Linked DNA regions of Struthio camelus. Each later gene encodes a partner of the first gene's protein in a complex. Links are inferred from orthologs where the notes say so. Each region holds a gene or a part of one and is shown in the gene's direction. Other genes may lie near its edges.

The links.
Region 2: the proteins of NCOA5 (region 1) and ESR2 are in contact, whole or in part, in a crystal structure (PDB 4ZI1), measured with the Homo sapiens proteins. The link is inferred for Struthio camelus from reciprocal best matches to the Homo sapiens genes NCOA5 and ESR2. Residues at the interface, in NP_066018.1 of Homo sapiens: Ser344, Leu345, Ile346, Leu348, Leu349, Ala350, Asp351; in NP_001428.1 of Homo sapiens: Ile310, Lys314, Phe319, Leu324, Gln327, Val328, Leu331, Glu332, Leu490, Glu493, Met494.

What each region holds. Positions count from the first base shown.
Region 1 is NC_090959.1:19,462,502-19,473,872, reverse strand, and holds the start of NCOA5 (nuclear receptor coactivator 5), read left to right. Parts: upstream 1-6,146; 5' UTR 6,147-6,293; intron 6,294-9,222; 5' UTR 9,223-9,246; coding exon 9,247-9,409; intron 9,410-9,953; coding exon 9,954-10,061; intron 10,062-11,371. Other genes in the region: CD40 (tumor necrosis factor receptor superfamily member 5), read right to left, coding at 300-399, 558-701, 788-913, 1,436-1,517, 3,391-3,438. UniProt on the Homo sapiens protein: Nuclear receptor coregulator that can have both coactivator and corepressor functions.
Region 2 is NC_090946.1:75,453,052-75,464,407, forward strand, and holds the start of ESR2 (estrogen receptor beta), read left to right. Parts: upstream 1-6,894; 5' UTR 6,895-7,032; intron 7,033-7,402; 5' UTR 7,403-7,528; intron 7,529-11,356. Other genes in the region: MTHFD1 (C-1-tetrahydrofolate synthase, cytoplasmic), read right to left, coding at 6,665-6,705.

The sequences.
Region 1 (11,371 bases):
GTGCCGGATGGGGGTCTCCGCAGCCCCTCACGCTGCGGCCCATGCTGGGCCCCCAGCATGATGCACTGGCACTGAGGGACGGTGCAAGCGCCCCCGTGTCTGCCTCCAGCTCGGCTGCGCCACCCCGACCTCGCCGTGCCCACGGCTGCTGCTCCCCTCTCTCCGGCCCCATGCCAGCCTGATGCTGCCCCCCCAAAAAGCATCCCAGCCATGGGGCCCTCGCGGCCCCAAAAGTCACTGGCAGCAAGGGACGTGCTCGCGGAGATGGGCACAGGCAGGGACGGGGTGCGGGGCTGTACCTTGTCCAGGGGTAGCACGGCTCCGTTTTAGACGAGACATTGGAGAAGGTGCCTTCGGCACAGGGCTCGCAGGGGGACGAGGTCCGGGCCGCGGCCTTGGCTGCAAAGGAGCAGGGGTTGCGGCAGGTCAGAACGGGGCCGCGGGCTGGGGCGAGGGCGGCGAGGCCGGAGCTCTCCCGAAGCTCTGCCAGCAGGACCCGGCTGGCGGCACACCCCTCTCCCGGTCCAGCGGAGAGGGGAGGAGCGGGCCCGTCTCACCTGCCACAAAGCCAGCGCCCCGCTGGCAGGGCGGGTTCTCCACGCAGGTCTGGCAGCTGGCGTCGGAGCAGTGCATGCCGGCCCGGCACTGGCACACCGTGTTGTGCGTGGCGTTCCCTTCCGTCTTCACCACGAGGCCGGCGTCTGGGCGGGAGGAGCAAGACGGGGGTGAGGCACCAGCGGGACGCGGGCGACCGCCCCGGCGCAGCCGCGGGCGCAGGGACACTCACTGTCCTCGCAGATGTCGTGCGGGTTGCAGTGCCTCTCCTTGGTCCAGCCCTGCTGGTAGTGTCCGCTCTCGCAGGCGTCGCAGAGGGACTCCGCCGTGCCGTTGCACTCGGAGACCAGCTTTTTCCCTGCAAGCGAGGCTGGTTGTGGGGGGGGCAGCGCCACAGCTCTGCCGGCAGGACGCGGGGGGGGCGCTGGCGGCTGCGGCTGGCCGGCCGGGCGCTGCTCCGGCCGTGGGCTCGGCGGCTGGCGGCGCCGGGGGCTACAGCGGGAGGGCCGGGAGGGCCGTCCGCGCTCTCCGTGGGCCAAGGCCTGGGGAACGGCCCGGGAAGGGAGCTGGCAGCGGGTGCGGCGCCGGCGGGAGCGCTCTGCCTGCAGGCTGCCCGGGCCGCCGGGTGCTGCGGGCCGCGGGAGCACAGGCAGCGCGAGCGAGATGGGGCAGGTCCAGGGTCTATCAGGGTCCCGTGAGGTCCCCAGCCGCTCTGGCACGAAGGCGAAACGCAAGCGAAGCTGTGGGCTGCGGCCGGCGATGGGGTGAGGCGGCTCTGGCCACCCTGGAGCCGGCCCGGGGCTCAAGCGGGGACCAGGCGCCCGGGTCCCGGCCACGGCCCGGGCTCGGGGGCTCACCCGAAGGGGAAGGGTCTCCGTACCTGGCTGGCACCGGTTGCAGCACTTGTCCTTGTGCTCATACTGCTTTTCAGAGCATTTTACGGTGTCGACAGGCTGCCAGCACTGGAAAAGAAGAGGCCTGGGAGTCCGCGCTGCTCCCCGGTGCCCGCCGGGAGCCTGGCTCCCGCAGGCGGCCAGCGCTGCGCCCGCGTCCCGAGGCGAGGCGGTCCTGCAGCCCCTTCCCGGGGCCGCTCTAACCACAGACCGCAGCCGAGCCGGCTGCGCCGCCGCCTGCCGCCAGTGCGCCGTTTGAAGTGGGATGGCAGCAATTCCGGTGCAATGTTTCCCCACACTTCCTAACGGGTGGTGACTGCACAGCGCTCTGCGCCCCGCCGCTGCCAACAGCCTGCGCTCCCGGGCAGGGGCAGCAGCGCCAACCGCGCGTCCCCTGCCCCTTCCCGGCGCTCGGCTCCGAGGGGCAGCGAAGCCCTGGGCCGGCGCCTGGTGGGCACGAAGCCGGCCAGAGCCCTGCCTCGCTCCCCGCGGGCAGGGGAAGGCAGCGGGGGAGGCAGGAGCAGCCCCTGACCCCGGGGCTCAGCCCTGGGGCCAGCCTGGCCGCGGGAGGGAGTGGAGCGGCCCGCGGGGGAGCCGGCCCGGCACGGGGCAGCCCCAGCCCGGTGGCCGTTCCCAGCCGGGTGGGCGCCAGCCCGGGCGGAGGGGACGGAGGGGCCGGCGGGGCCGCGGGGTCCGAGGCTGGGGGAGGGCCGGGAGCAAGGGGCGCCGCGGCCGGCGTGGGGGTCCCGTGGGGCTGCTCCGCCGAGGGGCGGAGGGAGGCAAAGGGGCTGGGGGCGCCGCGAGGTTTGGCGTCGGGCGCCCGGCCGGCGGAGGGAAACCGGCCCCGAGGGAGCCCGACACCCTGCGTTTCTCTTGCGTAGCAGGAAAGGGAACCGAAAGGGGCTCTCAGGCCCGCGCCGTTTTGCGTGCCGGGCTGCGTGCGCCCTGTGCCGGGGGCTCGGCCGCTCGGCGCCCCGGCCCAGCGCGGCTGCGCCCCGACCGGGCAGCACCGGGCTGGCGGCAGAGCGGCGCCGGGTCCGCGGGGCGTCGGGGCGCCCGCTCCCCGGGCAGAGAGCGGCGCCGGGACGGGGACCGGCCGGGCACGGGCAGTGGGGGTCCCGGGGGCACGGCGCGGCGAGCGCGTGTGGGAGGGTGCCGAGAAGCTGAGCGCTTGCTGGGAAATTCCCAGCCACAAAAATGAGGAACAATAAACTTTTGTGTCTCGAAGCGAGAGCCGGGCGCAGGGCTCCCGGCCAGGATTTCCTTTACGGCTTTCCCAGCGCGGCGGCAGCGGCGCTGGCCTCGGCCGGTCCTGCCCGACCCCCAGCGCCTCCCGGCCCGGCGCGGGGAGCGTTCCCGCGGGACGGCCCACGGGGCAGGGACGGGCGGCCCGAGGGCGCCGCGGCCGGCGCTGCCTTCCTGGAAAGCCCTGCGGGGCCGGGCCGGCCCTGGCCGGGGTGTCACGCCGTGCCGCGGTCCCGGCCCCCGCGCTGCCGCCCGCGCTGCGCGCTCTGCCCCGCAGCGGGCGGGCAGGGGCAGCCCGGCATCGCTCCCCCCGCAGCGGGCGGGCAGGGGCAGCCCGGCATCGCTCCCCCCGCAGCGGGCGGGCAGGGGCAGCCCGGCATCGCTCCCCCCGCAGCGGGCGGGCAGGGGCAGCCCGGCATCGCTCCCCCCGCAGCGGGCGGGCAGGGGCAGCCCGGCATCGCTCCCCCCGCAGCGGGCGGGCAGGGGCAGCCCGGCATCGCTCCCCCCGCAGCGGGCGGGCAGGGGCAGCCCGGCATCGCTCCCCCCGCAGCGGGCGGGCAGGGGCAGCCCGGCATCGCTCCCCGCGCAGCCGCCCGGCCCTGCCCAGCCCCGGCCCGGTCCCCGCGGGCCGCGGCCGGCCGCCGTGGGAAGGGGCCGCCGGCGCCGGTGCGCAGCCTGGGCGGGAAGCAGCACTTACGCCCCAGAGCACCGCGCAGAGGAGCCAGAGGAGTCCGAGCAGCTTCATGGCGTTGAGCGTCCCGCAGCCGCTGCGGGGGCGGCGGAGCAGTCCGTAATAACGCCTCGGCCCGTTTCCGCCCAGGAAGGGGACGTAGGGCCGCCCATCCTCGGCTCGCGGAGCACACGCTGTTTGGCGCAGGCTGCTGCCAACGCCCCCTCGCAGTGGCGGGCGTGCTCAGGCGGCAGCCGCTCGCCTCGGGGACTTCCCCGGCGTGGGACGTCGAGGGGCCGGCACCGCGGGCGGGAGGTGCAGCCCGCTCCGGCCGGGGCTGCCCGGCGGGTCCCACCAACGGGAGCCACTCGCGCGGCCTCGGCCGGTCCCCGCGGGGCGGCGAGCCCCGGCCCCCGGGAACGTAGGGCAGAGCCCTGCTCGGGGCGGAGAGCAGGGGGCGACGGGTCTGTCCCCCCGGGTCTGACGGGCAGGGGCGGCAGAGCCCGCTGCACCGAGATGACGGGAGCCCTCCTGCCCAGCGCCGCTCTCGTGCTCCTGCCCACCTCGGTGTCCCGCGGGTGCCGGCTCGCCGGGCCCCAGGAGCGCCCGTGCCCTCAGCCCTGGTCTGCCCGGTGATGCTCAGTGAGCGGCGCTGCGGCGGGGAGCCCCGGCGCCAGGCTCCGCTGGCCGCGCAGAGCAGCGGAAGAGCAGCCAGGGAGTCCCCGGGCAGGGGAATCCCGCTGGCACAGACCCCGCAGGGCTCGCCGTGCCCGGCTGGCCCCGCACCCCAGCCCGGAGAGCCACGCGGCCGGCACGCGGCAGCACCGGCGCAGCGGGACGCGCACCCGCCTCAGTCATCCTGCCGCCGACCCTGCAGGGCACCAGCCCGGCAGCTTGGCCCGGCATCGCCCCTGCCCGGGGCAGCAGGGAGCAGCCGGGGTCGGACCCGCCGGTTCCTCCCGTGGTGGCTCTGCGTGAGGACCCGGGCCCGGCTGTGCGCCCAGCTCCCTGCCCGCTCCATGTGCCTGCCGGGCCGCCCGCACCTCGCCCGGGTGCGCGGCTGAGGGCAGGACTCACCGGTGGGCCACGCGGAGGAAAGTGTTTGTGCTGGCCCTGCTAACTTATTCTGGAGGCAGAAGTTCAAGGTTTCACTTCAGTTTCCCAAGGGTAATTCAGGACGGTGGCCCCCATCCCTCCCCACAGGGCCGGCATCCGCACGGAGTCCCCAGAAATACGTCAGCCCCGAACATGGAAGGGGCAGCAGTGCTGTGGGGCCGGGTGCTGCCGCAGGGTCTGCCCTGCCGAGGATTCCCCAGAGCAATCCCCAGGGAACTTCCAGACTCATTTCCTTGCTTTGGAGAATTTCCCAGAGTTCCTGTTTCCAGTTCATGGTGAGTGGCCAGGCAGGAAACGGGCTTTCTCTGAATCCCTCCGTGCCCCACACGCAGTCACACGGAGCCTCCCTGCAGCTGTGCTGCAGCCATGTCCCATCCCACAGCCATGTCCCATGCTACCTCCATGCTGCGGCCACGTCCCATCACACCACCACGTCCCGTCCCACCGCCTCGCTGCAGCCATGTCCCATCACACCACCACGTCCCGTCCCACTGCCGCGTCCTGTCCCACAGCTATGCTCTGGCCATGTCCCATCCCATGGCCATGACCCATCACACCGCCATGTCCCATCCCATGGCCATGACCCATTACACCGCCATGTCCTGTCCCACTGCCATGTCCCATCACACCACCATGTCCCATCCCATGGCCACATCCAGTCCCACTGCCACGTCCCATCCCACAGGTACACTGTGGCCACATCCCGTCCCACCGCCAGCTCCCATCCCATGGCTACGCTGCAGTCATGTCCCATCCCACCACCACATCCCCCCCCATGGCCGTGTCCCATCCCACCGCCACGTCCTGCCCCAGGGCCACACTGTGACCGTCACGCCCCACACAGCAGCCCCGCAGCAACACAGCTGCCCGGCCCGCGGTCGCCCCGTGCCAGTCCGGCCCTGGTCCGACCGCTCGCGCTGCCCGGCGCCGGCTCCTCGCCGGGCGGCACAGCCGCGCCCGAGCCTGGCTGCCGGGGGCGACGGCCCCACACCGGGGCCGGGGCCGGGGCGGCGAGGGCAGCCCCACGGCCTCCCGCCGCTCCCGCGCGCCCCGGATTCCCCGCGCCGCCGTCGTTTCCCAAAACTGACGGGCTCGAAAGCCCGAGCGGTCCCAGGGGAGCGAGGAGGGCGCAGGGCGGCGGCGGCCGGGGATTTCTGGGCCGGCCGGCAGGGAGCGGCCCGGGAAGTCCCCGCAGCCCCGGGCCCTCGCTCCCGCGGGCAGCCCGGCGCCACCGGCGCGGCCAGCAGGGCCCGGCGGGGAGACCCCCCGCCCGGCGGCCCCGCCGGCCGGCAGCCGAGGGCAGGGGACGCTCCGGGCTCCGGGCGGCGGGGCCGGAGCCGGGGCCGGGGGCGGGCGGGGGCGGGCGGGCGGGGCGGGGCGGGGCCGGGGCCGGGACCGGGGCCGGGCGGGCGGGGCGGGGACGGCCAGGGGCGGGCGGGGCGGGGCCGGCCAGGGGCGGGGCCGGCCAGGGGCGGGCGGGCCGGGGGCGGGGGCGGGCCGGGGGCGGGCGGGGCGGGGCGGGCGCAGCGCCCCGCCCGAAGCCGCCGGGGCTCCCGCGGCGCCGCCTGGCGGCTGCCGGCCCCGCCGGCCGCGGGACTACGACTCCCGTCACGCCTCGCGGCGGCCGCGGGGCACGCCGGGAGCCGGGGCGGCCGCCCGCCAGCGCGCCGCGCCGTAAAGCGCGGGGCGGCGCCCTTCCGGCGGCGTTTCCGCCCGTTCGTTGCGACAGCGCCGTGCGGCAGCGGCGGTTGGCGCCTTTGTCCTGGCGGGCGGCGGCGGGCGGCGGCGGGCGGCGGCGCGGGCCCGGCGCGGCGGTAAGTGCGCGGCGGTGCGGGGCCCCGCGGCGGGCGCGGCTTTATGAGGGGCGCGGCGTGCTCGAATAAAGACGTACCACAGCAAACCTCGCGGAGCGTCTGCGTCCTTCTCGGCGCCGCCGCCGCGGGGCGCGGCGGGTCTCGCCTCGGCCCGGGCCCGGGCCTGAAGGCAGCGCGGGCGGCCGGGCCGCGCCGCGCCGGGCGAGGCCGGGGCGCCGCGGGGGCGGCGGCTGCGCTGCGCTGCGCTGCGCTGCGGCCGTGCCGGAGGCGCCGCGGCCCGGTCCGGCCCGGCTCCCGCCCCTGCCCCGGTCGCGCACCGGGAGAGCCGCCCTGCCTGGCCGGGCTGCACCGTGAGCCGCGGCCCGGGGCGGAGGTGAAACTCGCTCTCCGCTGCGTTTGGTGCCTGCGTTGTGTTTTTGTTCTTTTTGTTCTTTTGCTTTGGGTGTGTTTTTTCCTCTCTCTCTTTTTTTGGCATTGCCCAGGAACTTCTCACAGACTTGCGCATGATGTTTCCGTTGCGCCAAATCGGTTTCGGTGTCCCGCTTCAACTGTGTCTCGCGTTCTGAAGTTGTAGCGCTACTAGTGAAATAAAACTTTGTTTTTAAATTTACAGTTTTAGAGAGAGAGACATGATGTTAATTAACTTGTGGGGAATTTACTGGCAGGTGAGCTAACGGTAGCTGTTCTTCTGTGGTAACCTGCCGGGTCTGATGGTCCCTTTGTGCACTGGAGTATCATTGTCTTTAAACTATCTAGCTATGTGTTCAGCTTCTTTGATTAAAGTCTTAGAAAGAGACTTAGTAGTGACATTATTAACTTCCCTGGTGTAGCATGCCTAAAGCTGGGATGGCATTCACTTCTGCTCTCATGATTATTAAATGACCCTTAACCACTTGTTCCACTGGGTGGGAAATGGTGAGTAGCAGTAGATACTTCTAGGTGAAAGCCCTCTACTAATTCGCTGTGGATTAGTGTTTGGGATTTGTTGCTTTATTTTCTAAGCCACCAGCAAGTTGGAAAATATTCCAATTTTTCCTCATATAGAAAGTTCTTACCCTCTCTTCTGCCAGCGACCCCTTCTCATTGCCACCCCAGAAGAAAAAGATAAGAGTCTTTTACTGTTTTTGACACTGAATTAAAATGTCCTGCCCACAGGTATTGCACATTTTGCTGATGGGTGCTTAGGGTAGATATGGTATCTCAAGATTGCAAACACGGGTGATGTTTTATGATGAGGTGCTCACAGTGGCTGTGGAATCTCTGTTCTTGAAAATGTTCTGAGCTCAGCTGGGCAAGGTCCTGAGCAGCTGGATCTAACTTAGAAGTTGGTCTGGCTTAGAGTGTGAGTTGGACTAGATGACCTCCAGAGGTCTCTTCTAACTTATTATATGAAGGCTGTTCTCCCCTCAACTGATGAGAACTTAAGCTGCAACAGCAGAATAGAAGAAAACGCTGTAGTGCCCCTGTAAAGAAAAAGGGGTCAAGATTTGAAACTTCTGATGGGGAAAGTAAAGATGACAGGGGAGAACAAACTGGCCTTGCAGGAAGATGTTGACACAACTATGGTATAAGAACTGTTTGTTTGTTTTAACCACCGCCCTGTTTTAGCAACTCCGTTCACTTTTAAGAAGACAATTAGACTGGGAGGTGTTCTCTCCCCTGCTTTTCCACAGGGCTTCCTAAAAGAAGGAGAAAAGTGATATGAATGTAGAGTTGATGGATCTTAGTCTCAAATCCTGGAGTAGATTTATTTCTCATGCTAATTAGCACTGTAAAATTGTCTTATAATTTAAGAAGTTTGACATGCTTGTTTAGAAGCTACTTTTAAATAGTAGTCAACTTAGTTTATTGTTAGGGAGTGTGCTGGTTATAGAGTACCTCATGATTAACAGTAGAAAGTTTTGTTGATGTGCTCGATTTAACCTCATGAGCTTTTTTTCAGGTTACTTCCATCCCTATAAACAGACAGTCTCAACCCTGCACTCCTGTAGATGAATGTTTGGAAAGGATGACAACCTTATTTTATTAAATAGCTTTCAGTCTTGCAAGTTTGGCTTGCAAGTTTCAGTGTTTTTTTCCTCTTTCTAAGTTTTATGCTATAGTGGCTTTTAAAGCAGAAAGTATGAATCCTGAGTATCTTAGCTGAGACTATTTCGGTAGGTGTGTGCAGTGAGTGTTGCTGATTGCTCCAGCTTTGTCTGCAATAATATAGGTTAACAAAATTAAACTTCATAGTACTAGTGGAATGAGTTAACAATACTGCATTTATGTGGTTGTGGCTAAATTCCCAGCTGTGGACCCGACTTCAGTAGGAGTTGACATCTTGATGGGCACAAAGATATGTTGTTTAGTATTGGTGTGAATGAGAAATTGTGTTTTCTGTTACTGTAAAGCTAAGACGTCAGGTTTGGTGAAGTGATCCAAGTATGGTCACTTAAGAGCCTTTAAAACCTGCTTTTTTATCTCATTCAAAGCCTATACTGAAATATTTTGGGTCCCATTATGTGCTGTCAAGATGAGTTTCCTTTCTGCTTATTAAAATATTACATAAGTGTCAACACTTCTTACCAGTGAACTGAGGGAATAGATATGTCAGTAATGGATGTATTAAATCTTAATTCAAACTTTTCAGTAGAAAACAAGTTTTATTTGTATTTCAGTTTGGCGCTGAATCATTAAAACATATCTTCAAAATAGAATAGGCTTACTGCCTTTTGACAATACAGAAAAGCTGAACCAAAATGGTGCAGTATCCATTTTTGCCAGATTTCTGTATCCCTTGTATAAAGATTCCGCTGGAGTGAAGCTTGCGTCAAGCAGACCCAGTTGGCTTCTAGTCTGCAAAGCTGTTAAGTTTAATCTTGTTCCAGTTTAATTTTAATGTCATGGATTGAAATGATATGCATGGCCATTTTTCTTTTTTGCGAAGAGTTGGATTTGGAACGAAAGCAAAATGGCTCGAGGACGCAAGAGCAATAGCATCAAACAGAGCGACTTCACTAACAGCACCAATCCACAGGATTTAGAGAGAAGACTTTTTGTCGGCAATTTGCCCACAGACCACATGACTCGTGAAGAAATGGAAGAGATATTTTCAAAATATGGCAAAATAAGGGGTTAGTATTTTATCTTATGCCTTTTTGTGACTGGGAGTTCAGTCAGAAGTATAACATTCATGCTTGTCAAACACTAATTGGTGGTGTTGAGAGGAATGACTAATATTTTCCTTAAAAAGTGACCTTTTAAAGATAACTTTCTTTAATTGCCTTTTCTCTGAGAACATAATCCCTTCAGTACAGCTGAAACCTAATGTATATATGAGCTGTCTTTTGGGGTTGAGCTGTGGTGTTATACCAAGCAAATCTATGCTATCAAGTGATTTCATAGTCTCTTAGCCAAATTTTGGTCACTTCACAGACTTCTTTGGTCACTGTTCTGTCAGAAGAAAGTTGATCTGTTTTGTCATATTGTCTGGTAGTTCAAATCCCTTAAACTCTACACTTTGATCTCGGTAGATTTGGTTTTCCCGAGGAACTTGAGTAGATGTTTCTGCATAATGCCCCTTTGTGTGGTCCATCTAATGGGATTATATAATGACCTGGGTGGAATAGTACTGTCCCTTAGTTGTAACTGGTCTTGCCCTGCTGTTAATTTTTCCAGCCCTCAGCATGTTCCATGGCTATGGGTTCGTCCAGTATGAACGTCTAGAAGACGTCCAGGCCGCTCTGGACGGTGAGAAGGGTCGCCTTTTTAAAGGGTATAGATTAGGTAAGGAAAACTGATCCATGCTCTCCTACTGACCCTAGCATGTGTTCTGGTAGAAAAAGAGTGCTTTTGTTTATAAGCTCTCTGGAAAGATCATTGTATGAAACCTGCCTAGCATTATTCTAAAATCACTTTTACTAGGAATGCATTTTCCTTCTGAGTTATTTGCTCTAAGTGCTGTGTGATCCATCTGCATTGTTTTCTCTTGCTACCTTGGTCTTTCTCTCAATTTATTTTAATGTATTAGTACTTTAATACATCTATAAACCTATGTAAGAAATTGTTCGACATAAACCCTACAAAGTATTCACTGAAACTTCATGCACTTATTTTAAAAACACTTGTAGATTAATACTGGGCTTCCTCTTGACAGGTTCAGAGGAACTGGTCTAAGAACTTAGGGGTTTGTTAGATACATGATCTTAACTTAGATTTTTTGCACATGTGAAATTAATTTCTGAGTAACACTACAAATACTAGGTGCTTTAAAAGGTCTCTTCTCATAAAGATGAAAATCTTGCTAAATTTGCTGGGAGCAGACTTAAACAGAAATGAATGGCTAGGAATCTATTTAAGAGTAATCCGTTAAACATAACGAAAAATTTAGCCCCAAAGTAAGCCTACGGTAACAGTTTGACTTAGAAGGGAATAAAAGGCGCAGTAAATAATAAGTTGGGGGAAGGTTTATGTGTAGTAACAAGTATAAACCTGAAGAAGGAAATGATGGCAAATGGACAAGGAGGGTAGAAAGAGACAAGAAGAAATTATGGGCAGCGTCATAAGACAATAAGCTTAAATAGGAAAAACTACAGCTATCTCAAATGTATTATCGCTTCTAAATAATTGCACGTTAACTTCTTAGTGGAGAAGACCACCTGGTCCTCAGTTAATGTGTCTGCTCTCTCTTTTTAAAGAGGCAGAATGTTTTTTCATATAGCTTCCATTTCAGTAGAAAACTGAGAAAGGAAGAAAACAGCAGCTACCGAAACTAGACCTTTCCAAAATATTAGATTTAACTCACATCTATGAGGTTCAGCTATATGAAGACCTCTCTAGGCTATTAATGTTGTTTTTCCATAAGCCTTGGAAAATGAGGGAGTTTCCAAGGACCTGGAAAAATACTGCAGTTGTGCCAGTAAAGCAGTGTAAATGGACTGAGCGGACTATAGCCTGTCAGCCTGACATCAGTCCTTGATAACATAATGGATTCTTTTATCTGACACTCAATAAGAAGGGAATGCAATTAACGTCAGTCAAAATAAATCTTGTCAAACTAGTTTATTCTTATGATGCTACAAGTTTTATGGATTAAA
Region 2 (11,356 bases), on another chromosome or scaffold:
ATAGCCCTGAAGGCAGAAATCATTTGTTAGAAGGCCATCTAGCGTTAATTAATTACCACTGCTCTCTAGTTACAAGAAAAGCCACAGACACAGAAGTTTGAAAGAAAATTCAGTTTAAAAAAAAGGAAAAAATACTTATTTTAACTCTGCAGAGTGATAAACATTATTACAAAATAATATTTGCAAGCTAGCAGCTATTTAGTGATATGGTTTGCAAAATAAGATTGTGGCTTCTAAGTCTTCAGAAAGACTAAGAATTCATATAAATTATTAACAGCATTTTTATTATCAACATGAGACACTTTTACTTTTCAAGCACAAATCTGCAATTCATTGCACATGGTCGTTCCTCCAAAAGTGTTCCTTCTGACAGTAAGCCCCTTCCTGCCCGCATGCGCTGTTCCACAAACAAGCTCACACTGCAAACAAGGGTCCAGGGTCCATCCAGGTTAAGGACAGCACACAGCTCCGAGCATACAAGGAAAAAGCCAGCTCCAAAGATTAAAGAGTCCGCTGGCCTCTTTCTCCCTAAACTGCAGCAGTCAGCTGAATTTAATTTCATTAAGTGATCTTCCTAGGACAGGATGGATCACCTTCCTCCAGCTCTGCTGTAAGCGGAGGGAGGAACATCCTGTATCCATCCCTGTACCTCTGCAAGCAGACCTTCCTGCCATTCCAATGGGATTCTGTGCATGCAATGGCTCGGATGGTTGGGGTGCGGGTATATACATCCCCAAACTGAGGACAACACCCGGCTACGTTTCCGTACCTTCCAGGGATAATAAAGCCCAGCTGTGTGAGAATACTGTTCACATATGAGTGAACAAAAGCTTCCTTTAGAGACAATGATGCTCCAGAAGATGTCTGCCTCCGAAGAGGAGGGTTTGGCCTCCTCTCCTGGATCACAGTCTTCCAACAAACGCTTCAGAGGTAGTTCAGGTGTTTCTTTTGCAGCCTCCCGCCCTGACAGGGTACACTTTTCTTCCTCAAACACACATCTCACTATTGCAGCCCATGCATTTATCAACTCTAGATTACGGTATCCGCCAGAGGACTTCGGGTTAAAACTTGACACCTCTGTCCTTTCAGGTGGCAGAGGCTGACCTCCTGGACAGTTCACTATACAACCCCAAACATGGCAGCGCATGCATCAGAAGCACTTCTGCTGCAGCCCTCCAGAAACGGCCGTGTAAGCTGAAGGGTTCTCCCTAGGCCCTCCACCACCTTGGTCACGGCTGCTGTCCCTCAGGCACACTTGCTTTTGGGGAATGACACCACTTGCACCACAGCTAGGGGACGATGAAACATGCAGTCTGATTTCCTAATGTCCTCATCCAGGCTTCTGCAGCCTGAAGCCTTCGGAGCACTGAACAGCTGGTTTGAGAGAGCAGCTGGAGTTCCTCACTGAGCTCCAGGTCATGACCTGCCAAAGTACACGCTCAGTGGCGTCTGTTACAGGTATCTCTTGTGCTCCTATGGCCGTTTCTCCCTATAGGCTGCAGCACTGCCCCTTGCTCACTTTTTTGCCACTTGGAGAGACAAGCTTCCCTTTCTGCAAACCACCATGGCACCATGTCCTAACTAGCATAGCAACTGCTTAATCTTCAAAAACTGTAAAGAACCCGTATAAGCATGATTACTCTTTCCATGCCGCAAGCCAGTGTGCCACAAAACAACCTGCTGGGAGCCCAAAGAACAGAGAAGAATCGGAATCAACAGTTACTCTGTAACTCAAGATCAGTTCACAGGAGCCTCTTCTGGGGGGATTCACAGATTGGCCGCCCCAACAGTGTGTCGCTGGGATGGAAACGCTTTGATAAAGTCTACCCAGATGCTGCTTGTAATTCAATAGACGGCTCCATTTGAAGGAAGACACTGTTCAGATGACAGAGCTGGAATCAGTTGACAAGTCTCCTGACCTCTTATCTCAGGTACCACCACCACTGCATGACCTTCTCACACTGTCGTTATCTCCCAAGAGAAGCATCTGCTTCGTTCTACCGCTCCTCCACTCCCAAGGGTTTTAACCACTCTCGTGGTTGTGTCAGCTCAAATACTTGCATGGCCACTCCTCAGGAAAAATATATGAAGATGCTTTTTATTTTTAAAATACAGGTTTTTATACCACATGCAGAACAGTCGACCAGGAAAGGCCACAAAACAGCTGACCTGAGGAAGCTATAATCCATAAGGGAAGAGATAGGCAGCATTTGAGGAACCTCTCAAATGTGGCTGGCTGCCAAAAGAACAATGGAGTTTTAAAAATTCATGCAAAGCAGAGTCTTTAACACTTACACAGAAGGGTTTGCCCCAAACCCATTGTAACACCATCAGCTGGTGGTGGACACCCATGCTGCAACGCAAATCACACCAATCAGAACCCCAAGGCTACTAGATACAACATCCAACAACTACATGATTTAATCACGGGACAAGGGTAACAGAAATAGATGAGGACCCAAACCATGTTTGTGTGGCTGCAAGTACTTGAGACCATACTCCTTATCTACGATGGTTTTTGTTGACAAAACTGGAGGTAAGATTTTCTTCTTTCCTGCCTCTAAAATGGCAGTCCCCTACACGTACTTTCCCTAACAGAAGAAGAAAAGAGCAAGAGTATTAACACTTGGCACTAGTAACCAAAGTACTAGTGGCCACAGTCAAGGCCAGCTGGAGCCTGTTTTTACAGAACAGGGAACGTTGTAATGACTGCAGATAAGTGTCACAGAGGTAACCTAAAGAACCCCCTGCCAGCAACAGAAAGCACGAATGGACCACAAGGAAATGAATAAGAGAAGTTGCAGGATTGGTTAATAGGGATTAGACTATGATTGGGGGGGGGGGGGGAGGTTGCGATTGGGTTATAAGGGGATCAATACAAGCAAGAACTTGTGGGCAAGGTCCTTCTGTGGAGGCACCCAGCTTAAGCTGTACCTTTATTACGCACAACAAACTTTTTTTTTGGTTTAGAAAAATATTCAAAGTTGAATTGGGAGAATAAGCAGAAACTGAGGGTAGAGCCAAAATGGTTGGAGGTGGCAACTGCATAACTCCTTGAAGGTGGCAACTGCATAATGGCTGCAACACTAAGGACTCTCCCTTTCCATGTAACCATCTCTCTGATGTGCAGAGATCATAGCACTGGGGCGCAGCTGCCTACTAGAAGTTTGTTTTATTTTTAAGCTTGTCACCGCTTTGGAGCAGGGTCCTTTTTTTTTTTTTATTTTGTGCTTGTACAGCATCTGATACAATGGGTTCTTGCTCATATCTGGGGCTGCTCAGTGGCATAGGACTGTACTGCACCACGCAATTCACATTAGCTTAATAAATCCAAAGCGTGGTATCTTTGATGCATGCCTGAAACCTTCTAGGTAGGATCTAGAAAGCCATATCTCACAAATATGGGAGATTTTTCAGTTCACACTAGGCTCAGTTTGAGTTTCCAAAGCAGCTCCATAAAACTGTTCAATCCCACTCTGAAAAAGCTAGGTGTTGTCTCTACTGCACTGTTACCTCCAATTATAAGTTTAGCCTGGCCATCACTTCATCTAGTACTTCTTTTACCTCAAAGCAAGCACTAGGTGACCTACCCCTCAGGGCCGGGTGGCGTGTTCAGAGTTCTCCCTGCCATCACCATTTATCAGCCACTAATCCAGACCAGGACTGCTGATCCATTCCTGGTGCTATTCACCAATTCAAGCCAAACCCAAAGCTTTCAGTGCATGGGGCGTTTTCTAAACCTAGGCTGCTTTTGGGGAAATGACTGAACACACTGCTCACTGCAGCGGACCTAAGCTGCAAGAAAGAGCTACTCCGAAGCTTTGCTCTGAGCATCTATTTCAGATACAGAAACAGAGAGGTTTTATCATAAATAAAGAAGTTTGAGCATACTGCATGTTCATTTCTCCTAACCCTCCACGTTCTGTACACTTAAAGCACTGTCCTTCTCATTTGGATTAATTCATTATTTACTGTACTGTTACACAATAACTCATCCTTTGCAACTCATTTGCTCATGAGGAAAATTGTACTTGCAGCAAAATCGAAGGCTGAATTACTGAAAAGCTACTCAGAGATATTGTGAAAAGTCACTCAGAGATAACTACCCAGCTCTCAGTACCTTTTGCAGACTGTTCAGGTATTAGAGGCTGTTTCTACTGAAAGAAACGGCCTTAGCAAGAGACGCATTAACTTAAACATCAAAATCCTGCACACACAATAGTGGCCTGCCGTCCTGCATGCTGTCCTCCCCATGCACAGCTTACAACCATATTCACTAATCTCCCAGGTAATACTTAAAAAAGCAAACAAACAAAGAAAAACTGAATACGATGATTTTCTTTGGACCTTTTCTGAGCCCTTCAAGACTTTCTATGTACAAACTAGCCTTATGTTCTCAGCGAGTTTTCCTTATTTCCCTTATGTAGGGGTCTGCTACACAGGAACAAGGAAGCACACTCTCTCTCTCTCTCTGCTTCTCTTCTTCTCTCTTTCTCTCTGTCATACACAGACACACACACAATTTTTCCCTCTCTTTAAATACGTTTCACAAAAATAAGTATGTCAGTATCTACCTGATTTTTTTTTTTTTTTAATAACTGTCATGACTCCGAATTAGGAACTTCCTTCACCTCTCTTTGTGGAAGAGGTGCTTGGTGGCAGGAGAAGACAATACACAATACTTACCAGTTCTCATTTAAAATACACAGAGAAACCTAGAATTTTGCAGCTGGTACACTGCTGATAGATTCACCTCACCTGATAATATACGACCGACTTGCAAACAACCCCTTTTATTTGGTTAGAGGATAAAGTAACAGACAAAAATACTCTACAAGATAGTCACTGAATAAGCCATTCAGTTGACTATGAAGTCAGGAATATCCTCTTTATAACAGACAATTCAGTTGAAAATTCCTAGAAAAACCACACGCCTATCATTTTTTCTATTGACAGACTCTTGGCCTGTGGGTGCATTCTGGACAGTAAGAGTTCTCTGGATCACTATTTCTCTAGAGGATCTGGAAGAAAAAGATATCTGCAGGGTATATAGTCCCTTTCCTCATACCTCCTTGACGTACTCTACTGGCAAAAAGAAGAAATACTTAAGGCCCAGTTTTTGTAGAGCACACTATGATTTTGCTATACTGGACATAACCATAGTAGGAATAAATAAACTGAAGAACAACAGTTGTACAGTTGCAACTATTTTTCCATTTCTTATGGTCTTCAGGACTGGATGCCTCTGAGATATGTTTCAGGCAAACACTTCAACATTTCATTGGAAATGACATAATCCTTTCTCCTCTATGCACGTACTAAAAGCATGTGCCTTTTCCCAGGTATTGGCACATCACAAAAGTCCTAATCTCTGAAGACAGTTGCTAACGTAATTTAGAAAATAAGCAGCAGCAGAAGTGAAATATCTCCCCATTGTATCTATAAATGTTGAGAAAAAAAAAAAAAAGACAAAACACCATACTGCCAAGGAAGCTAGAAGTTTTACAGTGAATGCTCAGGCTATCTATAAAACATACTCATCCTACCTAAGTTGCTACCTTTCCTGATTTCTAGCCAGGCTAAAATTGCAATAACATGTACCTTGCGAGTGCCTACTGCACTTCAAGAGCAATTTCTATGCCAGAAGAAGCAAATCTGCAGAAGGCAAATCACTAAGCTCTACCAGTACCAGACACAGGGCAGGCAGGATTCACTGGCTTCAAGACTTCCCAGAAGCACGATGGTCCAACGAAGCACACAAGCCAGAGACGAAGCACACAAGCCAGAGACGGAAGTACCCAAGCCATCATTCTAGTAATTGGCTCAACAATTACAGGGTGAAAAAACACGTGAGCAGCCTTTAATCACGGATATTCAGATTCCAAACAGTTTAGGCCTAGTTTTTAGGAATGCTCCGCTGTCAGTCGGGGGTAGATGTGTTGTTCTCAGCAACGCCTAAAAGCAAGCCCTCCTTAACATTGTCCATGTTTTAAACATTGTCCGCGGATTAACTTATCTTGATTCAAAAAGGTGTGACCCACGCTTGCATAATATGAAAACAGAGACCTATCGAAACAAGTTCCCGACTCCTGCCCATAAAGGATCCTTAAAGCGCTGCACAAATACCTAAGGCTAGAAATCACTTCGCCGTTTCACCTCGCCGCAGGCCATCATCCATGCAGGCGCCCACCTCCGCGCCCAGGAGGATGCTGAGCCACCCCAAGGCCTTCCCCGGGGCGGGGGCTGCCGGGTGCCACAGAAAACCAAGCGGACGAGATAGGCCGAGCTTCTTCGGGGCCGGCGTGACAGCGTTTCAAACATTCCTGAAGATCCTCAAGAACACTACTGCTTCTCTCTAGGCTGCTTAATAACACCCACCGCTCCCCGCCAGGCAGCCCGCGCTGACCGCAGCGCACACCCTCGGCCGAGGCCTCCGCGGCCCCCTCCGCGGCCAGCGCCCGGGACCCCCGGCCCCGACCCGGGGCAACCGGCGCCTCCGGGCGGCTCCTTCTCCCTGACACACGGGTTTCCTCCACAAGCACCGCTCTCCCGAAGGAGAAGGGAAAACTCCCTCCGCACGCTGGCGGCGAGGGCAGCCCCGGCCTCTCCCTCCCCTCCCCGGGGCGCTGCGGCGGCTCTCGCAGCCCGTCGCCCCGCTACGTACGCGGAGACTATCTTGCCGCTGAGGATCTCGGCGGGGGCCATGGTGAGGGCGACGGCCGAGCGCGGCGGGGATCCCGGAGCGACTGCGGGCAGCGCTGGCCCCGCCGCGGCCCTACTCCGCGCCCCACGTGGCCACCAACTTTCGGCGCGGCCGCGCAAGCACCGCCCGCGGGGCGGCAGTACCGCCGTGCCGTGCCGTGCCCCTTCCCCTCCCCTTCCCCTTCCTTTCCTCTTCCCTTCCCCCTTCTCCTCCCTTCCTCGCCCCGCCGCCGTGAGGCGCCGGCCCGGCCGCCTCCCGCCGCTGGGCTGAGGAGCGCGGGCTCTGAGGCGCCGCGAAATGGCGGCCGCGCCGCGCTGCGCGCCCCTGCTGTGAGGAGAAGGGGCCTGGGCGGGACGTGGGGGCCGCAGGCGCTGTGAGAGGAGCGGGGAGGGTGGAAAAGCAGCCTCTGCCTCCGCTCGGGCGTTTCAACGCGTTTGTCCGGCAGAAGGTCACCCAGCTCGTCTAATCGGCACAGAAAGAGGGTAGCGGAGAGGGGGGTTTTGGCCCTAAGGTTCAGTGAGGTCTTTGCGGGTGGTAGAAATGAGCTCCCAGTGGCCTCTTCCGAGGGACGTGCCTGCAGTAAGTTATCCCCTTGGGACCGAGGAACATGTAGTTACCCATCCAGCTGGCTGCTCAGATGTGTGTGCTTCTCCATGCCTGCTGTTACTTCTATAACCAGTGCTTTTCCTTATTCTGCAGGTTAGTACAGACATTTTAGGACCTTGCTGAGAGAATGAACTTTCAGTGGTTTTCTCAAGCACACAGCAAACGTGTGGTGATGGTCAAGCCAGAGCTGGAGACGCGAAAAGCAGTCACATGTCACAGGTGAGGCAGGCTTGCCCAGGCAAAGTGAAGTCAGGACCCAGAGAAGTTGAGGAGCCCATCAGTTTTTACCACTAAGATCTAGCACACGGTCAGAGAAGGGGCCAGTATGCAAGAAACCCCGGCTAACAAGGTCAGGGACAGGGAACTCGCAAAGTGCCCCCCCGTAACTTAGATTTTTGCTTCATATAGGGCTTGGAAAAAGGAAGTTCATTCAGTCCTGCTGCAAGGTAATCATTTCACAAGTGGGTTTGGGAACTGTCAGGTTTTGAGAAGGGAGAAGTACAAGCCTCTCAGGCTCCCTCTGGGACACAAAGCTCTGAGATACACGTATGGGTCCTTCAGCCACAGAAGCTTTAGGATTGCTTGTCTGGGATTCTAGGAGGGGAATAAAATCCATACATAGTTCAAAACTTGTCTGAGGGTAAGGCTTTTCTCCTTTGATTTCCGTCCTTCCATAGCTATGGCTCTTTTGCCTTCCTCCCCCCCCCCCCCCCAGCTTTCATTTTAGCGAGGAGAGAACTCGCTGTCTGTTGAGCAGTCAAAGCATCTTAAGTTAACAATATGTTGCAATTATAAGACCAGAGGTTAGAAATTTCTCTTTAAAAGTGACATGGAAAAGAGGTAAAATTTTGCATTTTGGAGCTTTTATATGCTAAATAGAAAAAGCTAGAAAGAACTTCTTTCATTATATATTCCCTTTATTTCCCGGAGCATTCCAACAGTTGTAAAATTATACACTTAAAACTGAGATTAGACAATTAACTGAGAGAAGGGATTTTTTTCCTAGGCTGCTTAAAATTCTGTGCTTCGTTTGTTTTTGCTGTTGCCTTTATCTGAGCCCTGAATGAACTTTCGGGGGAAAAAAACCTATGTTTTTAGAAGAATTCAGAAGACACACTCCTTTGGTTCAGGACAGCAACAGCTTACAAAAACAAGCTTTGCCAACCAAGATTTGACACTTACAGTGCAAAAATATCAGGCAGGAGAAGAAAAAGAAGAAATCCATCTCGTTCGGATGACCTGATTTGCACAGTGAGCAGAAGCTGGTGCCATCAGGAGCTCTGGTTTCCTACCCAGAGTGGCTAGCTTGCATGATTTGTGTGTGCGTGTGTTTGTGAGTCTTATAGCATATGCTAGTTTTCTCAGTGTTCCAGCTCTTGAAAAAATGTGTTCAGGAGAAATTTTAGATAAAAAGGTAATTTTTTAGCTCTCACGGTGGCAGATAAAATTTTGAAAATGACCTGAATGTATTGTCTAAAAAATGAGAAGGGAAGTAAAAATAACCCTAAACAACTTCTTTTTCTTATTTCATGATTTTTAAGCCAGACTCATTTTTGGGAATGAATTTTAAATGCTTATGCCAGAAAATCAGACTTACTAAACTGCTTTTTATCATAGGAGAAATATCTTTTGTATTCCTAAATTTTCTCATTAGTCAGGCACGAAAGCTCAGATTGCTGCTCAGAAGTTGTGGGTGTCATGCCTTTATGTAAGAACACCTTCTTTAATGTTTAATCTTGATTGTCATCCTGAGGTCAAAATACTAGGAATGGGATGGGACCCTCCCCATGGAAGAGGGATTGGGTGATGAGAAATGGCTGAACAGACCCCTCTGCTCAATTCATGTCAAAGCTGTATCCAGCTCATAAATGGCAGCAGAAAATTTGGGGCTACTATCATGTAAAGGAAATCGCAAGGAAGCACAGTGGCAAAGGAGACAAATGTTGTGAAAATATGTAAAAAGTCGAGAGCGATGATCACTGTTTTATGCTTTGAATACACTTCTTTTGACCATGTTAACACAAAAGGGTGAGGAAAAAACCAAAAACCTAATGCCATGATAAGAACGGAGAGCTCTGAGTGGTCTGTGTTGTACCAAAGCAGACTTATCCTCTAAAGGCTGTTTGTTAGGATGAAGAAGGATAAAAGCAGCCGCTTCAGGGGAACGTGAAGCTGCAGGATTTCTGAGATGTCTCTGCTCTGAGCGCTGCCCCAGGACAGTTGTTCTACTTCCCTCACCTCCCAGGCATCCTTGGGTTTGCAGCTCCCACAGTATGACTGTTTACCTTTACATCCACCCCCCTCTTACCTAACATGTCAAAAGTCATGAAGGTTGCTCTTTAAAAAAACCATGAAGCCTGCAGAATCCACGCCAGAAAGACTCTCTGTTACTGGTGAGCTAACAGCTGAGCCTGTGATTGCACAGAGCCCCAGAAGGTGCAATTTGTTCTGAGGAACTGACCTTTTATCAGCAAACTAAGGAAGAACGTTAGAGTGTGCTTTACCCACCAAGTAGAACAGTTAGGACAGGGCATCTTTCTATCCCAGCTTGCTCACTTCCAATAAAGGAGGAGGAACAGAAAAGTAATTAGCTTCATGAACCTGGGTAAGAAAAAAGATTTGGAGAAAGTCTATTTGCTAGAGCATGCTTCAGAAAAACAGTATTAGACTTTGATTCTTCAAACACTTCTGGGGAACCTTTCCAGCTCGGAGATGTCACACTGAGCAAAGCAGGATTGGTTAAATGAATGAAGTTACTCAATGTTAGAATAGGTTAGAACATAGCTTACCTCCTGTGACGTTGAACACAGCTTAGTAGTGGGGTAACAGTGATACATTTGAAAACGTGCTATTGGTCAACTCTCGCTTTGGTCAGATGACGGAACTTTGATGCAAGGCTTGAGATTGACCTCAGTGTACACCCTTTGAAATAGACCTCATTGCTATGCTGTGTTTAATATAATATTAGCTAATGTGAGCTAACATTTGTTCCGTCACAAAGTGTTTCCTAAGGATTATTATCCCCTGATTTGTTGAGCTATCTCAGGTTCCCCTTCCTTCTAAGTGGATACCTCACAAAATGTAGCAAGTTGGTGATGCAGTGTATTGCCAGACAGTCACTGCAGAAATGGCTGTCCTGAGTTGAGGTGCTGCTTGATCTCTGGCTACCTACTGATGCCTTCTGCTGAGGGTTTCTGGTCTTATGCCTGAACTGGCAGAACAGGGACTTGGAATGCTTGTCATCAACTTCAATGCAAAGGCAGCTAGATAAGTCAAATCACTTCCACTGTAGGTAGTTTTACCTACAGTGAATTGATTAGCTATAAAGCAGGTACTTACATTGTAGATTTCTCTGGCAGGGATGTAGAGCTGTTTTTTTTTTTTGTTTCTTTTTTTTTTGGTTGCTCTTTTAGCTAACCTCCTTTAGATACATCACCTTACCTTCATACAGAAATCTTCCAACGCTTCTCATTGAGCTCTCAGGAATCCTTGCAGAAGAAAGATGTCTTGTTAACCCTTTGAAGAATTTTGTGTCGCACTTGATTCCTTTGGGAACTGCCACAGCGCTTTGTAAATTTGGGCCCTAGGTTGTCCTGACTCTTTGGAGTTACGAGATTATTCACAGTAAACAAATCATTTTCTAAGTAGTCCTCTCTCTCACGTAATAACCATTCCTAATATTTCTACAGCATGCTGTGGCACTCCATGCAGTAAACAAACAGCCTAATTTACTATCCAAGCCCCCTTCTGAGTAAAGTATTACCACGTTTTCCAGATAAGGTAGCTGAAAAAGAAAGATTAAGTGATTGCCTAAAGCCAAATAAAAAACACAAGCAATGTTCTTGAAATTAACTGGCTTGTCATTTCCAATTCCACCTTATTTTTTATGGCTAATAACTTTTAGTGGCTTGTGGCTACATAGGACTTCCCTTTCTTTTTTCCAACAGCAGAATTTCGCAAGAAGACTATGAAAAATACATTCCTAATATTACTTTTCTGTAGAAGTAACTGCTATACCAGTTCCACCTTTCTATCTATGTAGCAATT